Linked DNA regions of Drosophila melanogaster. The protein of the gene in region 2 interacts with the protein of the main gene of each other region in a pairwise test. Each region holds a gene or a part of one and is shown on either strand. Other genes may lie near its edges. The genes, in order: kst and AnxB9.

The links.
Region 1: the proteins of AnxB9 (region 2) and kst interact in a two-hybrid assay, tested with the Drosophila melanogaster proteins (one study listed by BioGRID).

What each region holds. Positions count from the first base shown.
Region 1 is NT_037436.4:3,346,443-3,354,777, reverse strand, and holds the start of kst (karst), read right to left. Parts: upstream 4,671-8,335; 5' UTR 4,524-4,670; coding exon 4,442-4,523; intron 3,283-4,441; coding exon 3,092-3,282; intron 2,814-3,091; coding exon 2,646-2,813; intron 1,041-2,645; coding exon 924-1,040; intron 856-923; coding exon 593-855; intron 524-592; coding exon 394-523; intron 142-393; coding exon 1-141.
Region 2 is NT_033777.3:21,063,683-21,074,954, forward strand, and holds AnxB9 (annexin B9), read left to right. Parts: upstream 1-1,558; 5' UTR 1,559-1,719; intron 1,720-2,200; exon of another isoform or gene 2,201-2,269; intron 2,270-3,763; 5' UTR 3,764-3,787; coding exon 3,788-3,817; intron 3,818-4,386; coding exon 4,387-5,095; intron 5,096-5,155; coding exon 5,156-5,337; intron 5,338-5,630; coding exon of another isoform or gene 5,631-5,684; exon of another isoform or gene 5,685-6,072; intron 6,073-6,595; coding exon of another isoform or gene 6,596-6,649; exon of another isoform or gene 6,650-6,857; intron 6,858-6,874; exon of another isoform or gene 6,875-7,041; coding exon 7,042-7,095; 3' UTR 7,096-7,235; downstream 7,236-11,272. Other genes in the region: cortactin, read right to left, coding at 1-147, 216-382; r-l (rudimentary-like), read right to left, coding at 7,331-8,142, 8,807-9,323, 9,384-9,536; dmrt93B (doublesex-Mab related 93B), read left to right, coding at 10,325-10,579.

The DNA.
Region 1 (8,335 bases), on a different chromosome or scaffold from region 2:
TCGCTGGATGCCCTCCAGCGAGTTGGGCAGGTCGCGTTGCTCCAGCTCCAGCGTCTTCTGGCGGATCCAGCTCAGCAGGTTTGTGGTCAGACCCTCGTACTGCATCTTCTTGCGATCTGCGTCCATTAGCTGCCCAACAATCTGCGGAGGGGTAGAAAAAGAGAGCTGGTTGAGCGACTTTCTAGGTGTAGGTCTGGACCCCACCCGAATCTGATTCCGAATCGGAATCCGAATCCAATCGGTGGCCAATCCATTGTGAAGTAGAGCGTTAACTGTGGGACACCGTTACGCTGCAGCGACTTCTAGAGACGATGGGCCTCTGCCAATGGCATCCGCATCTACCTTTATAGGCAGGTTCATAGCTGAAGCCGGGTCCGACCCTGGTTTACTTACATTTGCTATGCGCTTGCCGCTCTTCTGCTCGTTCTTCATGCGTGCAAAGGTGTGATAGTAGGAGGCCACATAGGTCAAGATCGACTTCTCATCGGGACGGGCCGAGTCAATGTCTTCCGCATCGAGCAGGCTAAAAGGGGGGCGAACAAATTACAATTAATTTTATTGACATATTTTTTATAATTTACAAAATTCTGACCTGGGAATGCCCAATTCGTTGGCGGCCGTGTCAAAGGCATGGTTAAGGTTGTCCAGGTTGGAGTTCTTCGAATTGACAATCGTACTGTACTCAAACAGATCGGGACGGTGCGAGTGGATGAGCGCATTGAAGCCCAAGCCGGAGCGCCAGGAGTTGGTGAAGTCGGTGATGTTGACGCCCGGATAGCCATGCGTCTTGCGCTGGCACCACAGGAGCAGTGCATCTTTGGCGGAACGCTTCTCGCTGGACTCGTTCTCCTCATCCTAAGTGAAACGAATTGGAATTATAAATTAAGCACTTTTGCTATGTGACTTGCGAAGGGACAACTTACCACATCGATTTCAATTTCCTGAATCTGAAACCGCAGAATGATGGTCCAGATAAGACCGAGAATGAGACGGGGGTTGCCATCGACGATGTCCTCAGCACCAATGGACTCCAGACGGACCTAAGACGAAAGAAACCATCATGCATTATTTCCATTCTCCACTCCACACTATCTCTTCTGCATTTCTTTCAGTTCCCGTTTGGTGAATGGAGTGGGTAAGCTGCGTATTGGGTTACCAAGAGTTCCACATCCCACAGATGCCGATACATTCGAACTGGGTCTGCGCCTGTCCAGCAAGACACGCTTTATCAGGTGGAGGTGCTTGACCCCCGGTGGGTTCATGTGGGTCGCTCGCCTGCCATTTGCATTTATAGTGGGTCAGGGCGCGGACAGGTAACGCGCACGATAATCCCAGCGAGGAAAGCATAAGTTACTAGCTGATACCGATCTAAATCGCATTATCATAGCTACAAAGTGGCCAGCGGTTGGCTGCTGATTTATGTCCAGGTGGAAAATTGAGATGGAGAGCTCTCGTCTGCAGACCATTTAGCATTTACTAAAAACTAGTTTACGAATTAGAATTTTAAGAACCAATTACGGCTTCTTTTTAAATTCATAGCAGATAAAGGGGAATCTGGAGGTGGGTTAATCATAGATTTATGATCGATTTTGTGCATATTTATAGGAATTTAAATAGTATTGTCAAAATCATAAATTATATATACATTTATAATTTATGTATGGCAGATTATCGTTTTTAATAGTTCATAAGAAGGCAGTAAGCTAACTTTATTCCTATTCCCCGACAAACCGTTTGCTTTAATAGACTCGTTCCGAGTTATTCTGGTACATTAATGTTTAGTAGGGAGCTACGCCTTTTGGTTCTCCTAATGGCGACTGGAAATTCCAAGAGTCGTGCTCCGCTAAACGCTTCAATGAGTCCCCAAGGGATCCTCCATCGAATGCTCGCTTGTGCGTAAATCTTTCGCTCGGGCTTCTTTCAAGCCTAAACACCAATTAAAATGCACTCAATACCCGTGTCACACACAAAAGACAAGCCCGAAAAACAAATGAAATACGAAATGGAATGAAATGAAATGGTGAAAAGTAAAACCGAAAACTTTCACTGCTTCGCCGCTTAAGAAACAAAGTGAATTAGTTGGACAGTGGGACAATTTGATGCGTTTTAATTGCTTCTAATTAGATTAGACCAGAGGCACCTGACTAGCCAGAAGATTCGAAACTATGTCGCACGCTAAGCTCCCACTTTGCTCAATTAAAATCAAATGCGCACGAGAGGTGCAAAGAAAGTACACATGTATAGTATGAGCGCGGCAGTGGAAAATGTGCCAAGCGCAACAAAGTGAAGTGAAGTCAAGGAAAAAATGCATTAGAAAGTATGCAAATATTTCAGATATTGCCAAGAAAACGCGGTGCCCAGGCTAGGTAATTAAATATATACTTTTTCGCCATGTCTTGACGTCGCCTCACACTTCCCGCTTCCCCGAGATCCGAAATCCCGACTCCAACAGCCAGATCCGTGCACCTCATATGGCAAACAAAGCACGCAATGGCCACGCGCAGCTGCGCAGGCGCGACTTGCACTTTCTACAAATGCGTAGAGAGCTTTACACTCTCCAGTCTTCAGTCTTCGGTCTTTGGTCTTCCAGCAACTGCAACGCCTTCACTCCCTTCACTCGCCGCCATTTATGTGGCATATCTCACCTTGGTGTGCAAGAATGCCAGACTCTTGTTGACATTTTCGATTTTATGGACGCGCATGCGTCCGCTGTTCGGCTTGCCCAGTTTCTCCGACGATATGATCTCCAGCAGCTTCAGCAGCTTGATGCCATCGGCCAGGTCTGTGAATAGGTCTTCGACCTCCATTTTGGCCTACAAAGAAGACGATAAGCCCAAATGTGAGTTGCATTCATAAATTGGTGGGGCCATAAAAGTTTCTTCCAATCAAAATTTCAAGTGAATGTATAATTTCGAATGTCATATACATATGGCGCTTTCATTTGAATACATCACTTTGATCGAGAAATTATAGTATTTAAACAATGAAAACTTTATGTGCTTAGCAAAACAAAGCATTTCTTTCATTTGTACTTTATAGTAATTAAATTACAAGTATTGGGAGTGATGAGTGACTCAAGTAGTTTACACACCTTGATCAGAAACGAGTTCATCCATTTTGTGAATGTCTTCTTCTGGATGTGCAAGCGCTCCTCCTGCAGCGTTTTGATCCGCTCGTTCTCGAACTTGATGATGCCGTCCCGCTGGGTCATGTTGGCGGAGTTGCGATTGGAAGGCGTCGGTGTCTGCAGCGCGGAGTAGCCTCCCGGCTCATATTGTGATGCTAAGTGGGGGGAAGGGAGGAGGAACAAAAATCTCGGATTAGTTCGAAGTCATATAAATGCAACGCGAAACGTTTAGGCTTAGTGTTTGTTTTGATTTTTTTTCATTTTTTTTGTATTTTTTTCCAGGAAAGAGAAATGGGCAAACCACCTGACAACAGACCAAAATCAATAATGGGCATAGGGAAAATAGAGGAAAAATACGAAAGGTATGTGGCAGAGATAGGGAAAGCACGACCGTGACGTACGAACCTATTGATTTAGAGATAACGAGTTATCGCCAACATAATTGCCTCTATAAAAAAATCCCTGGCTAAAGTTAGAACCACATTCCAAGGCAGTTTATTTGTAGTCTTTCGATTATGTCAAACGTAATTCCTAATTTTAAATCATTCCATCAGTGGGTTCCCATAATGTCAAAGATTACCAACGGGTATTTCAAACGAAGAACCAACAATCACTTTTTATTCGAACGCCTCATCACGTACTTTTGTTTTCTAGACCCGTTAAGATAAGCCATGTGTCGATTGGCGTTTCACATTTAGATCTTAGCTGAACAAAATTGTGAACACCTTTTTGAGTAAGCTTGATAGTGAATTTTAAAATATAGTGAAAGATTTTTAAGATGTAGAAATTAGCAATCTGTTGCTTTATTTCAAGTAACTTTACCTCATGAAAGAGTAAGGTATCTTTAAATTTCTTTTGCTAACAAGTGTAAGATAATTTCAACTCTACCAACTATAAACAAACCAAGCTGTGACCAACTTTCCAACCCAGTAGATATACCCCCAGCTAGCGTATCGAAATCAAAACAGTCGCTGCCCAGCGATAGTGGTTCTGCGAGCTTATCTGTCGACTGCCAAAATTACTTCATACCTATGGAAAATGCTTCACGACTTTGTTACTTTTTTTTTATCAACGGTTCGTTTTACGTAATACTGGACAAGAGAATATGTTAAAAAGTGAACAAAATTGGAGCGGAAACTGCAGAAAGCGAAACCATTTTTCTAGGCCGTTGACTCATTTGCCAAATATTTGCGCTCTTATCAACCAAATATGAAGTTCCACCCAACTGAGATAGATAAGAGCAGGTTACTTTCGTTTCGGGATTGTATAATGATCGCGAGCTTCCAGGGGAAAAGTTCAAGTTCAGAAACCTACCCAACGATTGGCGTTCGTAGGATATATATCGGCGATACTCGTTGCGCGAGAAATTCGAGCGCAGAACACTATTGTACTCCATGGCCTTTGATCAGTGATTTCTAGGGTGTTTCTCAAGATATCCGGGCTTTCAGCACCGAGTGCCGTTCCTTAAAGCTAATCTTTCGTTTTTTATTTCTATTTTGTATTTCGACACTAAGTTTCGTTCCTACGGTCAGATGTTCGCAGAGCCCGCGCCGTTTGGTCACTAAAAACAATGTGTGCCCAACATTTTGCACGCCCCAAAAATGTAGAGTGGGGGAAAGCTTCCTCCCCCTCTTGGCTCTGTTTATCAGATGAATTAAAAGCCAAATGCCAAGAGTGGCAACAAAAATGCTTCAACTGGCCTATGGTGAATTCCCTTTATCGCACGAGCTGATAGCAGTATGAGAAAACGGTTAAGGTATCTGAAAATCCTTGCCTTGACAAACAGCCAATAGACCCTGTCGGCTTATCTTATCGGTCCATAAATCCCGCATACCTCGGACATATGTTTTTCGGAATAAATACATATATATAGAGGGGAATGCACTTCCAATATCAAGTTATTTATGGCGCCCTATCAGATTCCGCAGACTAATGAATGGGCCATTTAGAATAGCTGCCAAATTCGATCATTCCCAATGACATCATGCCAAAGAGTTATAATCTGCTGTCTACTCGGGTCGGGTGTCATAACTCCGCTAATAGATCATTTACTATACATATGTGCCGCCAATGGCGTTGAGGTCACCTGGAAGGCATTCGCGGCTAATTGGCAAACAGAACACTTCGCTTTCGCAAATAGAAAAATCAATTAAAAAGAGGTGAAAACTAAACAATAAAAAACCAACAACACCAGTGTGACAATAAACTTTACCATACCGCGATAACGTTCGACGCTTATCATTATCGAGTGGCAAACAAAACCTAGAAAATGCAGAGTGCGGCATAACTTTAGGCTTAGCAGGAAAAGCAATTAAAACTGTGCCTCCTTGATCCCCAAAATAGAACGCATCCCCCAACTCACATACAGCTGTCTTTGGCCATAAACTATTTATACAACTAAAGTCGCCGGAAAAGGACGGCAGAGGCAAAGTCAGGGGCAAATGCGAACCGAGGCTCGAATTCCGGGCATCCTGTTTACTTCAATTGTGATACAACATGGTAGCACAGCACATGCGCGGCAGCTGGGAGCAGGAACACTCGGATTCCGCGCCTCTTTCTATTTATAAACCACCACACTTCACTCATCGCAAACACTTTGAAAACGATTTTTATAGATTTTCAACTTCTTCGGTGTTCTCTAGATCTTGTGTGTTCCACATACACGGTTAGCTAATGAACAAGGCGTGCAACAACCTCGGAGTTGTGTAAGAATTTGCATAAATCAATAAACATTTAGCATTTTGTATGCTTAATTTTTATGGCCCATACGCTAAGTCACACATATCATTTAGCAAATCCCGAATTAAATGATACTTTAAAGTATATCAAAAAGAAGTTAGGCATCTTTTTTTGGCAACCTTTTTCTACTCAGATAACATCCGAGGTAGTTACCGATTTTAATTACTTTTGCGTGAGTGATGGCATATGTCTGATAAAAGCGTAGTTTTTCAGCCATCTCCGCTTTGAACCGAAAATAATGAGACCTATAGCTCGGCAAATTAGGGAATTGGTGGTCTTTGTTGTCAAAAATTTCTACGCATAAAATTACCTCATCAGTGGCTGGAAATTAAAATTCAGTTTTGGCCTCAGTCGAAAAGAAGAATACAGATTGACACAACACAACAAGTAGAAACCCACAGTGATATAAATTCTTTTGTTTGTGCCTGGCATGCTAAACAATTTTTTAAAATCAACGAGAGAAAATAACAAACAATTTCAAAGAGAAAACAGCTAAGCTGGAGACGAAAGAGCCACAGACTTGGATTTAATTTAAACAATAGATCTAAACTGGAAATGATCTATAGAGTTACGTTTTTATTCTGCTAAAGTTGAACAGAGACTTATGATACTCTTAACTTAATATGAGATAGATAGATGAACAGAAATATATCTATCTTCACTCTTTTCTCATCAATAAATTCAAATATTACCCCAACTCCATTAAAAGCCAAATTATTGGGTGGAGCTTCGAATGATTACCAAACATTTTGGCTGATTATTGTCTCATAGCGATACAAATGCCAAAGAAATATTACATAGCTCGTCGATTGCTTTCATGGCTCTTGGTTGCCTTTTGCTTTTGTTGAAATCGAAATTGTTTATAGAGAGCTTCACTCCGCTCATGTTTTTTTTTTTTTTTTTTAACTTGCCTGGTACGATCGGACGTGTGTTGCCGTCCATATCTATGTGTCTATGTGATGTGCCCCAAAAGTTATTTGCGAAAATTAGTCAATGTTGAGCCACACTCAAAAGCCCCCAGCTCCTCGTGGCCATTGCCTTTATTATTGCTTTTTGGCATTTGGTCACGCCCCCCGGAGGGGCTGTACCACATACGATGCGATAGACACACAAAATACACCCGCAACCCATGTTGTTTTGATGACATCATCGTACCTCGAATCTGAGTTTGATTCAAAGCCCCAAAAATTCGTTATATTCTTCAGGGTTCTGCGCATGCGCCACCGGCTACCGAATTCGAATTGGTTTTCTCCCTGCCTTCGTGAGTTCTTTTTATTTGGGATTTGATTATGCAAATGCTAGATTCGTTTATTTGGGGCGCCGCTTCAGCGGTTTTAACTGATTTTTCAGTGAGACTTTGGCAATGAAAACCGTTTTCAATTGACGCTTTTCAACGGTTTTTCAGCGCTTTTCTCCGTGCTGGGAAAATCCATCGAGCCATGATTAGAATCCAAAAATTAAATAGTCAAGCGATGACATCACTTTTTAACGAATAGAAATCTCCGGGGACAAAAGAAGCAAATGAAGATGACAACGGGTGGGATTTATAGAGATTCCATAGATATAGCACAAATTCCTCGAAACAAATTTCTCTAAATTCATCCTTTGAGCACAATGAAAATCAATTAAAAATGAAATACGCAGGGCGGTTCCAAATACATAATAAATTTTAATCGATTGGAGATGCGAATCAACGAAAGATCCATTAATTTTGCGACCAAGGAGGAACTAGGCACGCGTCTTCATTTAATTGTGGTGTAATTAAGATTCGATATGGCGGATATAGGCCCATTAAACCAGATGGTTTCTGTAACAGTTGAGAGGAGCTAAGGAACAGGTTTCCAAGAAGCTATGAACTTTGATTGATTTCCTTTGATTGGTGGGAAGTGCCAGGCAATTATGGATTTCGCAGATCCAGGGGCGTTAAGTGTGACTAAATCGCTTTGATTGATTATCTACAACAGTATTCTAAGATTTTGAGATACAAACTACAAACGTATAAGCGGAAACAGACCATGTAACTCGATAATTACACTGAACAATCAAACCGAAGTTCGTTAATCTCTTATGGGAAAACTGGAAACTTTCACTTGAATGACACAAAGAAAATTGTCGAAAGCCAGCAGAAACTTTCAAACTATTCAAAAGTCGAGGCTAAGCTGTTCTACCAATTGTATTTCTGTTTGTTTTCTTTCCCAAAAAAAGCTGGTTTCTGATTAATTAGTTTCATCTACCCACTTCCCATTCGAATAGCGCCAAAAATATGACTTAATCGCAGATGATTTGCATATGGGGGAGACTCAATAAAAGCCGCCACACGTGTGAACCCAAAATTTTAAGCTCAACGAAGTTTGAGTCATCGAAGTGATATCTGGTTGTATAGTATATATTGTATATATAGTACATAAGTATATAAGCCAGCACTCATGACAAACACGTACCACTCACGACTAAGTCCAATATTTGCAC
Region 2 (11,272 bases):
TAGTCATGACCCACAGCCGACTTGTCCATGCGGTCCTTCTCAACGCCAAACTTGCCCCCGTATCCGTATCCTGCGTTCTGATCCTTCAGCAGCTGCTTCTTCTTGTCCAGATCGGCCTGCTCCGTCTCCTCGCGCAGCTTGTCCATGCTAAAAAGAATAAAGAAAGGGAACAATGAACCCGATACCCAGTGTTTCGAGAATTTCGGATGACTCACTCGATGGTGCCTGCTGTGCGACCGCTGCCGTCGATCGTCTTTGATCCCCAGCGCTGCTCCTGCTCACTGACATCGTTCACGAAGTCCGGATCCGTCTCCCAGTCGTCGTCCTCCGCGGAGGCTGCACTGGTGGCCTGAATCTGGTGACCGGCACTTGCCTTCCACATTCTTTTTACCGGTTTCTGGTCGCTGGTTACTCGCTTATCCTTATCTGCTGGGTAGATAGATAAACACCATGACGAGTGTGAGTAGTCGGGGCAGGTTTTCAGTTGCAGGGGCTCCGCTTCCGATTCGTGGCCCAGATAACAAGTCACAAAACACCGAAGAAGGGAGGGGCCGACAAAGCCGGATCGGGAACAAGATGCCACTGGCGCTCTATGTTCATATGTATACTCACATCCCGATGACTAACTCCTACTGCAAGAGGAACTTATGATCTGATGCCGCTAGGGATGTCTGCAAATTTCTGGGAGGAGAAGGGTTAAACAATTGATTCATAAAGAGACCAACAAACGGGAAACTAACTGAACTAAATTTCATTCGATACAATGGATGCATCGATATGCTACGAAAAGCCGATAAATTATTGTGATGAGCTTGACAAAAGGTAGTTGCTGCAGTTTTAGGGGCGCCCAATTTAAATGATTAAGAGATACAGTCGTGGTTCTTTTACTTTATTCGATAAGTCAATGCACCGATATATACTGCAGTACCAATATATGTGATCGTGATCAATAGAACTGAGTGCTCGGGCAAAAGGTATTTGATGTTATACCAAGTGGCGCCATAGTAATTTGTATAATTAATAAGATTCTGCCAGAACGGTAATTAACAGGTATAAGAGTTGACTTTTTTCATATAACCGCAAACATATCATCGATATATCGATAGTTTTGGATTTGAATTTGCTTCGATGTCGGCTGACAATTAACGTAATTGGTTTTTATATATAGTTATAAAAATACAAATAAAAATAGTTATAAAACGGCTTAGGAAGGAACAGGATATTTATTTAACTGTATTGCCCTAACGGCTGAATATTGAAGTCAAAGGTTACATTTTGAAATTCAATGCGTAATCAGATCTTATTTTCCCAATGTCGTCATTATCACAACGGAAATATCATGAATGTCTCAACAGCTTCCAATGCCGATGATTCATCCATCTCGGAACACTTTAGATTCTACGGTGTATACTATGACGACGCAGAAGATACCAGCTTCCAGTTAGGCGCTACCACCGAATATTTCCTAGCAACAACAACCTATCGCCGGTTGGTTCATCTCTAATCGACTTCCAGCGAGAGAGCGCGAGTATAAAAGCCAAAGACGGAGCGCAAACAGCTATGGTATTTATTCACATCGCTTGCAGTTCGCATCGTCTGACTTGTACGTTGAAAATCGAATATCATTGGTAAATCAAAAGGAATTTGTAGATAAAACTCATTGTTTACTCTCGCTGTGCCAGAAATCGCAAAAAATCAAGCGGAAAATCAGTCGGAAAAGTGAGAAAAGAAAGTGTGTGCTAAACACTCAAAGATAATTTTCATTTGTGCCATTCCAAAATGGGCATTTTGTAGAATTCTAGTTGTGGGTGCGGTATCGCGAGAATTCTCCAGAATCTTGTTTCTCTATTTACTTTATATTTCAATAATAAAAGCCTCGGGTGGGAGAAAAATTCAAAACCGAAAGATGACATCATCAAACTCAAAAGCAAAAGCCCCACTCTTTTGGCGTTTTCTCTCGCGACGCGTGTGACTTTTCTCATCTCCGACGAAATCTAAGTAAACTTTTCTGTTCCTTTCTTGCTTTCCCATTTTACGTAGGAATGAGAAGCGGAATTTTTCGAAATATCTCTATCCCCCAGTGCCCTGCTTAATTTAGTAATTCAATCAACTTCAATTGCCCGACAGGCACTTCAAACTACAGTAAGCACTGTGTATGAGCGCCTGTGCCTTGCTCAGCATTACTCACCGGAATCGGATGTGGCCACATTCCACCGTCCACAAAATATAGTAGTAGTGTACTCGAGGCCGTGCAATTATAGTAGAATAGGTGTGTCATCAAGGTTTATTACTAAGTGAATTGCTCAGTGCATTTGCAAAACATTTTTGAAACATTTCGAGGTACAGTCCATCGAGGTCTCCAAAAGAAGTTGGCAAAAGCTTTTGTTTATGGAGTTTTTCACACATGGTCACGAGCTATTCCAGTTTTTACACCTATATTATAATATCTCTTTTTTAAAGTCGTGCTCAGAGCTTAAAATTGACGTCACAAATCTGGTGAATCACTGAGTGCTGTAATTTCAATGTATCATCAGTCTATTTCAAGAACAACATTACCAGATACGCTATGCTAAAGCATATCTATCAATCTTGTTTTTTCCAGACCCCAACCACTTTTTATAATGAAACAAAAGAATTGTAATTAAGGGTGTTTTCAAACACAAATGTGTTTTCTACATTGAGGTCAAACTATTACGGAGAACTCCAATCAATATTTAGAGAGTCTAACCAATTATTATTGATTACATTATTCTCAACTTGCATTATAATTTATTTAAAAAGAAATCATATATTAACTAAAGTAGTCTATAAACACTAGAATCTTGAGTTTAATTGTACGCCATACGTAAAAGAACCGGTTTCAACGTTGGCCAAAACATTTTGTTTGTTTATAGCTCGACTGCAGAGGCGTTTGTAGTTGTATCTTTTTGTTAACTTTTTTGTTTTTTTGGATGGCGTCGCCACGTCAAGTCTTTTATAATGCTTTTTTCGGCTGCCTTTTGTTGACTTTCTACTTTGGCGGCAGCATAGAAAGGCAAACATGTATTTTCAGCACTGTCGCACTGTGATTACTAATTTGGGGAAGCTATCAAAAATCTCAATCCATTTATCATTAGGTAATTTGGCCCTATTGATTTTAGGGATTATGTGGACTAGTCCCTCGAGATAGTGTTCCACTTGACAACTGAAGTGGAGTGGTAGATCTAGAACGCAAACGGGTGACGAGTCAGACATTTCCCTGAAGCTTTCTCTTGGCCACAACCAAGCCGTGCCCGATGTTTTCCAAGCCAGAACGCAATGAGCTCATCCGTTTATGAGGCCACTTCGTGTGGGTTTGGTCTGGCCTATCACGAAACTGCCGCGCCATGCCATTTGGCTATCAGACGCACCCGGTTCCAAGGTTCGTTCCTCCGCAAACTGCGTACTGAAAAGTGGAAACTTTCACTTTTCCCCGGCAGTACGTTGAACTTCGATTTGGGCACCGGTCGGCAAGGAAAACTAAAAAAAAAAACATCTCGGTAAATAAACTAGGAAAAAAAATCAATGGGTAAAAATGCTCTCAGACCAGCGCCAGGCTGGCTACGGGGCGTATGCGTAATGTGAGGCTTTTACGAGTTGATGATGTCACCAGGCAGGAATTAACCGAAGGCCGGGCTTATTGGGTCTGGGAAACATAACGTATCCAACATTGCTGGGGGTTCAGTTTTCATCACGATTTCGGCGTAGCCATTATTCATTATGATTTCTCACTTCCTACTTACAGATTTTTCACAACAAACCAATCAAAATGAGTTCCGCTGAGTACTACCCATTCAAGGTGAGTTTACAATGGATTGTACTTTATGAGTCTGGTATAAATCAATTATTTCATGCGATTAGCGCCGTTAATGTAAAAAATCAGATCAAATTAGATTCAACAGATAGATGAGAATATCTTAATATTATTTTTTCTAAAACGTGTGTTGTTGTCAAGTAAGCAAGATTTTTCTCGATGCAATCTATAAATTATTACAACGACCAGATGCTACGAAATTATCTATAATTGGGCTATTAAATTATCATCAGAGGTGTATACTAGACAATCGTTGACAAACAAGTACCGATTGGTGGGAGAAGAGAGTGATAAGAGGGTTTCAGTTATGAGTTCCTTAGATAAGAGTCACAACGAAAAAAAAAGTCAATTTAGAAAGCTAACTTTATTGCAGAGGAATTCATGCAATACTGAGATAATACATGTAGGGAATAACCACATATGTATTTGTATTTAGAACAAGTGCCACTGAGTAGTGTTGAGTCATTTCTTTGGGATTACGTGCCCTGCATTAAAATACACCCAATTCTTCTTTGTTGTTACTCATTTGCTGATTGCCTATATTCGATTTGCAGTGCACACCCACTGTCTACCCGGCGGATCCCTTCGATCCCGTCGAGGATGCGGCTATTCTGCGCAAGGCGATGAAAGGCTTCGGCACCGACGAGAAGGCCATCATCGAGATCCTGGCCAGGCGTGGCATCGTCCAGCGTTTGGAGATCGCTGAGGCGTTCAAGACCTCGTACGGCAAGGACCTGATCTCGGACCTCAAGTCCGAACTGGGCGGCAAATTCGAGGATGTTATCCTGGCTCTGATGACGCCGCTGCCCCAGTTCTATGCCCAGGAGCTGCACGACGCCATCTCGGGACTGGGAACCGACGAGGAGGCCATCATCGAGATCCTCTGCACGCTGTCCAACTACGGCATCAAGACCATTGCCCAGTTCTACGAGCAGAGCTTCGGCAAGTCCCTAGAGTCCGACCTGAAGGGCGACACCAGTGGCCACTTCAAGCGGCTGTGTGTCTCGCTCGTCCAGGGCAACCGGGATGAGAACCAGGGCGTGGACGAGGCCGCGGCCATCGCCGATGCCCAGGCTCTGCACGACGCCGGCGAGGGACAGTGGGGCACAGATGAGTCCACCTTCAACTCGATCCTGATCACCCGCTCCTACCAGCAGCTGCGCCAGATCTTCCTCGAATACGAGAATCTGTCGGGCAACGACATCGAGAAGGCCATCAAGCGGGAGTTTAGCGGCTCCGTGGAGAAGGGTTTCCTGGCCATCGGTACGTTCTTATAGCATCCTATTCTTTAGGGTCCCTTCTAACTGATGCATTGCTCTGCAGTCAAGTGCTGCAAGTCCAAGATCGACTACTTTTCGGAGCGCCTGCACGACTCAATGGCCGGCATGGGCACCAAGGACAAGACGCTGATCCGCATCATTGTCAGCCGGTCGGAGATCGATCTGGGTGACATCAAGGAGGCATTCCAGAACAAGTACGGCAAGAGCTTGGAGTCCTGGATCAAGGTAAATACCGATTTCAATTACATTCATATCTGCGTGTGCTTGCCAGAACTTTCGATTCTGCACCCTGTTCAATGTGCCACTAACTCGCATTCGATTGCACCTGCAACAAATCCCATTAATTGTGGCTCCATCAAAGTTTAATAATCGTTCATCCAAGCTGGCTTCTCCTGTTGTTGTTACTGCTCCTTTGCCCAACACTTTCTTGCCGATTTCTGAAGCCATTATCCCTTCCCGCCCGATTGCTTCATTTGTGTGCATAAAACATTAAAACTTGGCATATTCTATATTTTTAGGGCGATACATCCGGCGATTATAAGCGTGCCCTATTGGCTATTGTTGGCTTCTAAAAAGAACCCCATCCAACAATAATTTATCTCTTTCGTCTGTTCCACGCTCTAAACTATATGCAAACAGAATGTACAAACAAAATTCCGATATCAAATAGTTGACAATGTATAGTTTTTGAATTGGAACACGTTTTAACGAAGACGCAGTGCATTTAAGTCGTAGAATCAGAACCCCAGTCTCGCATCCTGTTGATTATTATAACCATTGTGACTTTTATTATTATGACTATGCACGCCACATGCACATAATTGTATCTCTATAATTACTACACCTCAGGCTACTTGCATTGCTGTGTAGGTATACTTTCAGTTTTGTTTTGAGTCTCATTTGCAAGATATTTTAACTTTTAAAAAATACGAAAATAAAAAATACGAAAAAATGAAATACAAAATTCAAATCGAGTTTCTGTTACCTTTAGCAGAGGTCTCTGCACTGCTTGTCATGTAAATAACAGCGCTACATTGGGTCGCCTAACATCAAAACATTAAACATTAAAAAGGGCGTGGATTAAACCAACTTAAAAATCGATTTAAATGGGGCTAAATGAGTATATTAGCCCTCTTTAATTGTCTATATAAACTAGATCAGCAAGTGTATAAGGTATACAAACTGTTAAATATAGTTCAATTTAGATCTAAATATACTTGCACTGCTTGCTAAAAGTACATGTCAATTACATGTAAATATAATGTACATACAATTTCAAGATGTAAAACTTTAAATGTTATGTTAAATTTGAAAGACATTCATTTGCTGATCAGGTAGATATATAGTTGATTACCCCTTGGAGGAGTAGCTTCCGGCAATTAACCAAACCATAAGCCATGTATACAAAGTAAAAGGCGTTTAATGCTCTGACCCTCTGCTCTTTTCACGCTTTTCTCTACCCGTTTAAACGAACCAACAACAGGAGGATGCCGAGACCGATATTGGATACGTCCTGGTCACTCTTACGGCTTGGTAGACGGAAGCAGCCGGAATATCCGAATATCTATGAGCAATACCCCACTGTTCAAGTAGAAAATGCCAAAAACAAAAAAACGTTGCATTTCCCCAAAAAAAAGTATAACAAAAGCGAAGAACAAATGGAGTTGGTCTATATACAGTAGTTGTGATGTGTTCTAAAAATCCAATCTACAAAACGCTTAGTATTTTCCCTCTGTGCAATAACGTCTAACGTTCAACGATTATTTAACATTTTTACGTATTTTTATTTTGTATACATGTCTTTTTTTATTGTAAATTATGGCGCATCAAAGTCGTATGCGTAGTTTGTGCTTGTATTAACTAATAAAGTTGGCTTACACTCAACGGCAAAGCTGGGTCACATTCACCATCCACTGATCTCCTTTCCAGGACGACCTCTCCGGAGACTACAGCTACGTCTTGCAGTGCCTGGCCTCCTACTAAGGATTTCCTCGTTGGATCGATTGTTAACCATTCTATTTGTTGTAACTCTTACTTTAAGGCAAGCATCGTTTGCCAACTGTTTTGCGGAAGATTCATAGCCTATGTTCAATTCATAAATGCACTGTAAAATCGCGGTAAATAATTGGAAGATTTTTTCACTTATCTAGGGTAACCGAAACCAAGGGGGAATGGGTATTGGGGAATATTCGTTAAGGGGGAATGCTGTTTGGGTTTTCTACTTGGCAACTCGATCCTGGTAGGCTGCCCACAGGCGGTCGCGGTACGTCTGAGCCGCCTGCTTCGGGCTGCTGGCCTTCAGAATGCCCCTGCCCACCACTCCGATGTCGGCACCCCGCTCCTTGACCACATGCTCCGGACTCTGGTACTGCTGGCCCAATTGGTCCACGCCCTCGTCTATCTTCACACCGGGCGTCAGTTGCAGAAGTCCGGGGAAGGCAAAGGCATCGGAGGATTGGCATACCACACCGGCAACGAAATCTACATCGGCTCCCTCGGTTGCGATCTTGTTGCTGTTCTCCTTGTACTTGGCGTCGATCAGGTTGCCGCTGGCAGACATCTCCGCCAGCAGGAAGACGCCGCGTTCCTTGCCGGCTCCTCCTTCGCCAAGGCCCGCCTTCAGACCCTGCAGAATACTACGTCCAGGTAAGGTGTGGGCCGTGACCAGATCTGCCCAACTGGAAATCTTATAGATGCCCTTGCCGTACTGCAGGGACACCGTGTTGCCGATGTCTGCAAACTTGCGATCCTCCATCAGCAGGAAATTGTGCCGCTGGGCCAGAGCTTGCAGGTCAGCGATGAATTTATCACTGAAATCCTCCACAATGTCTACGTGCGTCTTCAGCAGGCAAATGTACGGACCGCACTTGTCGGCCACGTCCAGGATCTCATCGGCGTGTGTCAGGTCGGCGGCCAAGCAGAGGTTCGTCTGTTTGCTGGCTATCAGGTTGAAGAGGCGCTTGGCCACCGCGCTCTTAGCCAGATTGGCGCGATTCTCGTAGGTCAGTTTAGTGCGCTGCAAGTCGTTGGCTGCGGGGAAAGTGATGGTGATTAGTTAACACTTCAATTTTGAAACGTGCACGTAGACCTATCTTATCGCCTCTTCTTATCGCTATATGGTTGTTTTGTACCTATGCCAATTTTCTTCAATAGCTTCACACTTTGGCGATCCCAAAGTACATAACTCTTTTCAACTGGGAATCAATTTTGGCTATTGTTTATACAGTATCTTAAGAGTATATACAAAAGTTACTCCCCAAAGGCAAAGACGATGATTATGATGAGATTAGAATACTGTGACTTTACAGGTGGAAACAAAAAGCAAACCGGTTCCCATACATCTCATCAAAGCGCCATAAACGAAATGTGATTATTTATAGAAGATGGGCTTGATTGAAGGAGCAGGCTGGCTCTCGAGTGGGCTGATAAGCGTGGTGGCATAATTGAGTGCGGACCGGACACTGCCCTGAATCAGAATCACGTGCCGCATTCCCGGGAATGATCCGGTCCGATAGTGGAATCCAGATCGGCCTACCGCCGTTTATGGCGGTTGTATAACTTTATAGTAGCGCGACTGGAGCGCTCCCTAATTGAATTTGTTCGAGGCCATGTGCTGGCCGAGTGTCATGTACTTATTATCTATCTATGCATCTATCTATCTGGCAGATATCACGGGGATCTGGAGCATACGCACCTCTGACAACGTCGCCCTTATCGCCGCCGACGAAGGTACCATCGCTGTTGATTTGCACGGCGGCGATGTACTTGGCCACCGCCTCCACTGTGGACTTCTCGATGCGCCCGGCCTCGTGAAGTGTGTTCAGCAGAAAGGAGAGCGTGAAGAGCGAGTGCATCCGCACGCCGTGCTTGGCGATGTTGGCCACTCCGCCCTGCTCACGGTCTACGACGACCACGGCGTCGGTGACCACAATGCCCTCGCCTTGCAGATCCCGCACCGTGTCCAGGATGCTGGAGCCGGAGGTGACCACGTCCTCGACAATCAGACAGGTGTCGCCAGCATTGAAGATGCCCTCGACCAGCTTCTTGGTGCCGTACGCCTTGGCCTCCTTGCGCCGCACCAGCATGGGAGTTCCCTGCTGCACGGACACAATGGTGGCCAGCGGGAGCGCCGTGTAGGGAACACCGCACACGTGTTTGGCGCTCAGCTGCTTGTCCTTGATGTGTTCCACCAGCAGGTCGGATACGGTTTGCTGCGGGAAGACCAAGTTAGCTACTGCCATTGACATGGAGCACTAATCCCAAATACTGACCATCACATCCGGATAACTGACGATCACTCGGAGGTCGAAGTAGACCGGCGAATTTATGCCCACTTTCATCTTGAAGTCGCCGAACTTGAAGGCATTGATCTCGAAGAGCTTCAGGGCCAGGGCCCGCATTTTGTCGGAGTTCTGGGCAACCATGCTGGCAATTCTAAATCTCGATCTTAATTCTTCACACACGTGCTAGCTAGGCTCCAATAAGAACCGTCCAATTGGGAGTCTACGCTTTTTAAACATGCTGCCAGTGTGCACGTATCTGCTGTGACATTGGGGCACATTTCGAACACCCTAATTAAGGTACAAGTTCTGGTTGCGCCGCCTGGGTGGTTAACTTCGCTATGCCGCCAAACTTATCGAAGTTCAAATTATTATAAATGTCGTAGATTTTATCAACATTGGCTTCGAATTAATAAACGTTTATTATTAGTTATAGGGTAACAAAGTAGCATAAGTGTTAAGGTTTTGAAATAAACTATTTTGCATGTGAAATATTTCCCAAATTCATAAAATATATAACCTTTAGTTTCTGAGAAGTCTTAAGAAATTTCAAGGAAATGAATGGATGGATTATATACAATATTTTGTCCGCTGCATTGCTGTATTGTTCACTACTTAGCATTTGTAATCTGAAAGCTTTGGCTCCGCCCACAAACCCTTGACTGCAACTTCAAGGGGAGGAGTCTAGTCATTTTGCAACCACCAATGACAGTCCTGTAAGCTCATATTGCAAAATGAAAGCCAAAGCGCCTGCGTAAGTCAACAAAGTTTGCGCCATTCATTGAAACAATTCCAGATCCTTTGGCGCGTGTTTCCAAAATTTAGTTTCTTTTCGCTGGTCTCCAAATAAGTCGCAAATTTGTGCTCCAAAAGCGGCAACTTCTTAGTCGAAAAATCGGTTTTCTCTCAATCCATTTCTCGCCTGCGTTGCGATGGCCAGTTCAAGTGGTGAACCTGCTGATGAAGTGGCTAATAAGCGTCCTCGTCTTGTGGCTAATCCCAAGGCCACCAAAATAGTTGAACCCACACCGGCCAAGGTCACCAATCGGGTGCCCAAGTGCGCCCGCTGCCGGAACCATGGGATCATTTCAGAGCTGCGGGGTCACAAGAAGCTCTGCACCTACAAGAACTGCAAGTGCGCCAAGTGTGTCCTGATCTTTGAGAGGCAGCGGATCATGGCCGCTCAGGTAAGTTAGGATTTATATGCACGATGACAAGCAATCCTTTCTGCTTAATTGGCAATCATTGACATTACTATCCTCATTTTATGATTACTGCCCACTTGCTAACTTTAATGTCATCTATCCTGGATGGTAAAATCGCTATCCCAAAAATAGCTTTTTAAAAATTCGGTGCATTCGAATACAGAAAATTGCCTGGTTAGATCCATCCATAGACATCCAAACCATCCAGACCAGATATATTGCTCTAACATTCGGAGACTTTATTCCCAGTCCTTTAGAAAATTTCTTCTTGTAAAAACATATTCCCTTTATTAGCATTTACTTAAAATGACATATCAAATATTCTCAAAAGCCAAAAGTTTTCTAAAATAACTTCAGGATATTAATGTATAAATGTATAAGCATAAACGTAATTGTGTTTCATGTTGTATTGTTCGCAATGGATTCCGTGATCGATTTTTACTAGGTATAACTTTGAAACCCAATTTAAGCCTTTCGATTATAATTTAACTTGATTAATGTCACTGTTATATTTATAATTTACTAACCTGGGACGACAAACAAAAACACCTATTAGCAAGGGGAGCTTAAATTAACAATAGCACCGAAAACTCCGACATTTTCTTATATCGTGTTTTGTGACTTTGAATAACATTTTGGAAACATTAATTATTTTGGATTTCTGCGAAAATTGTT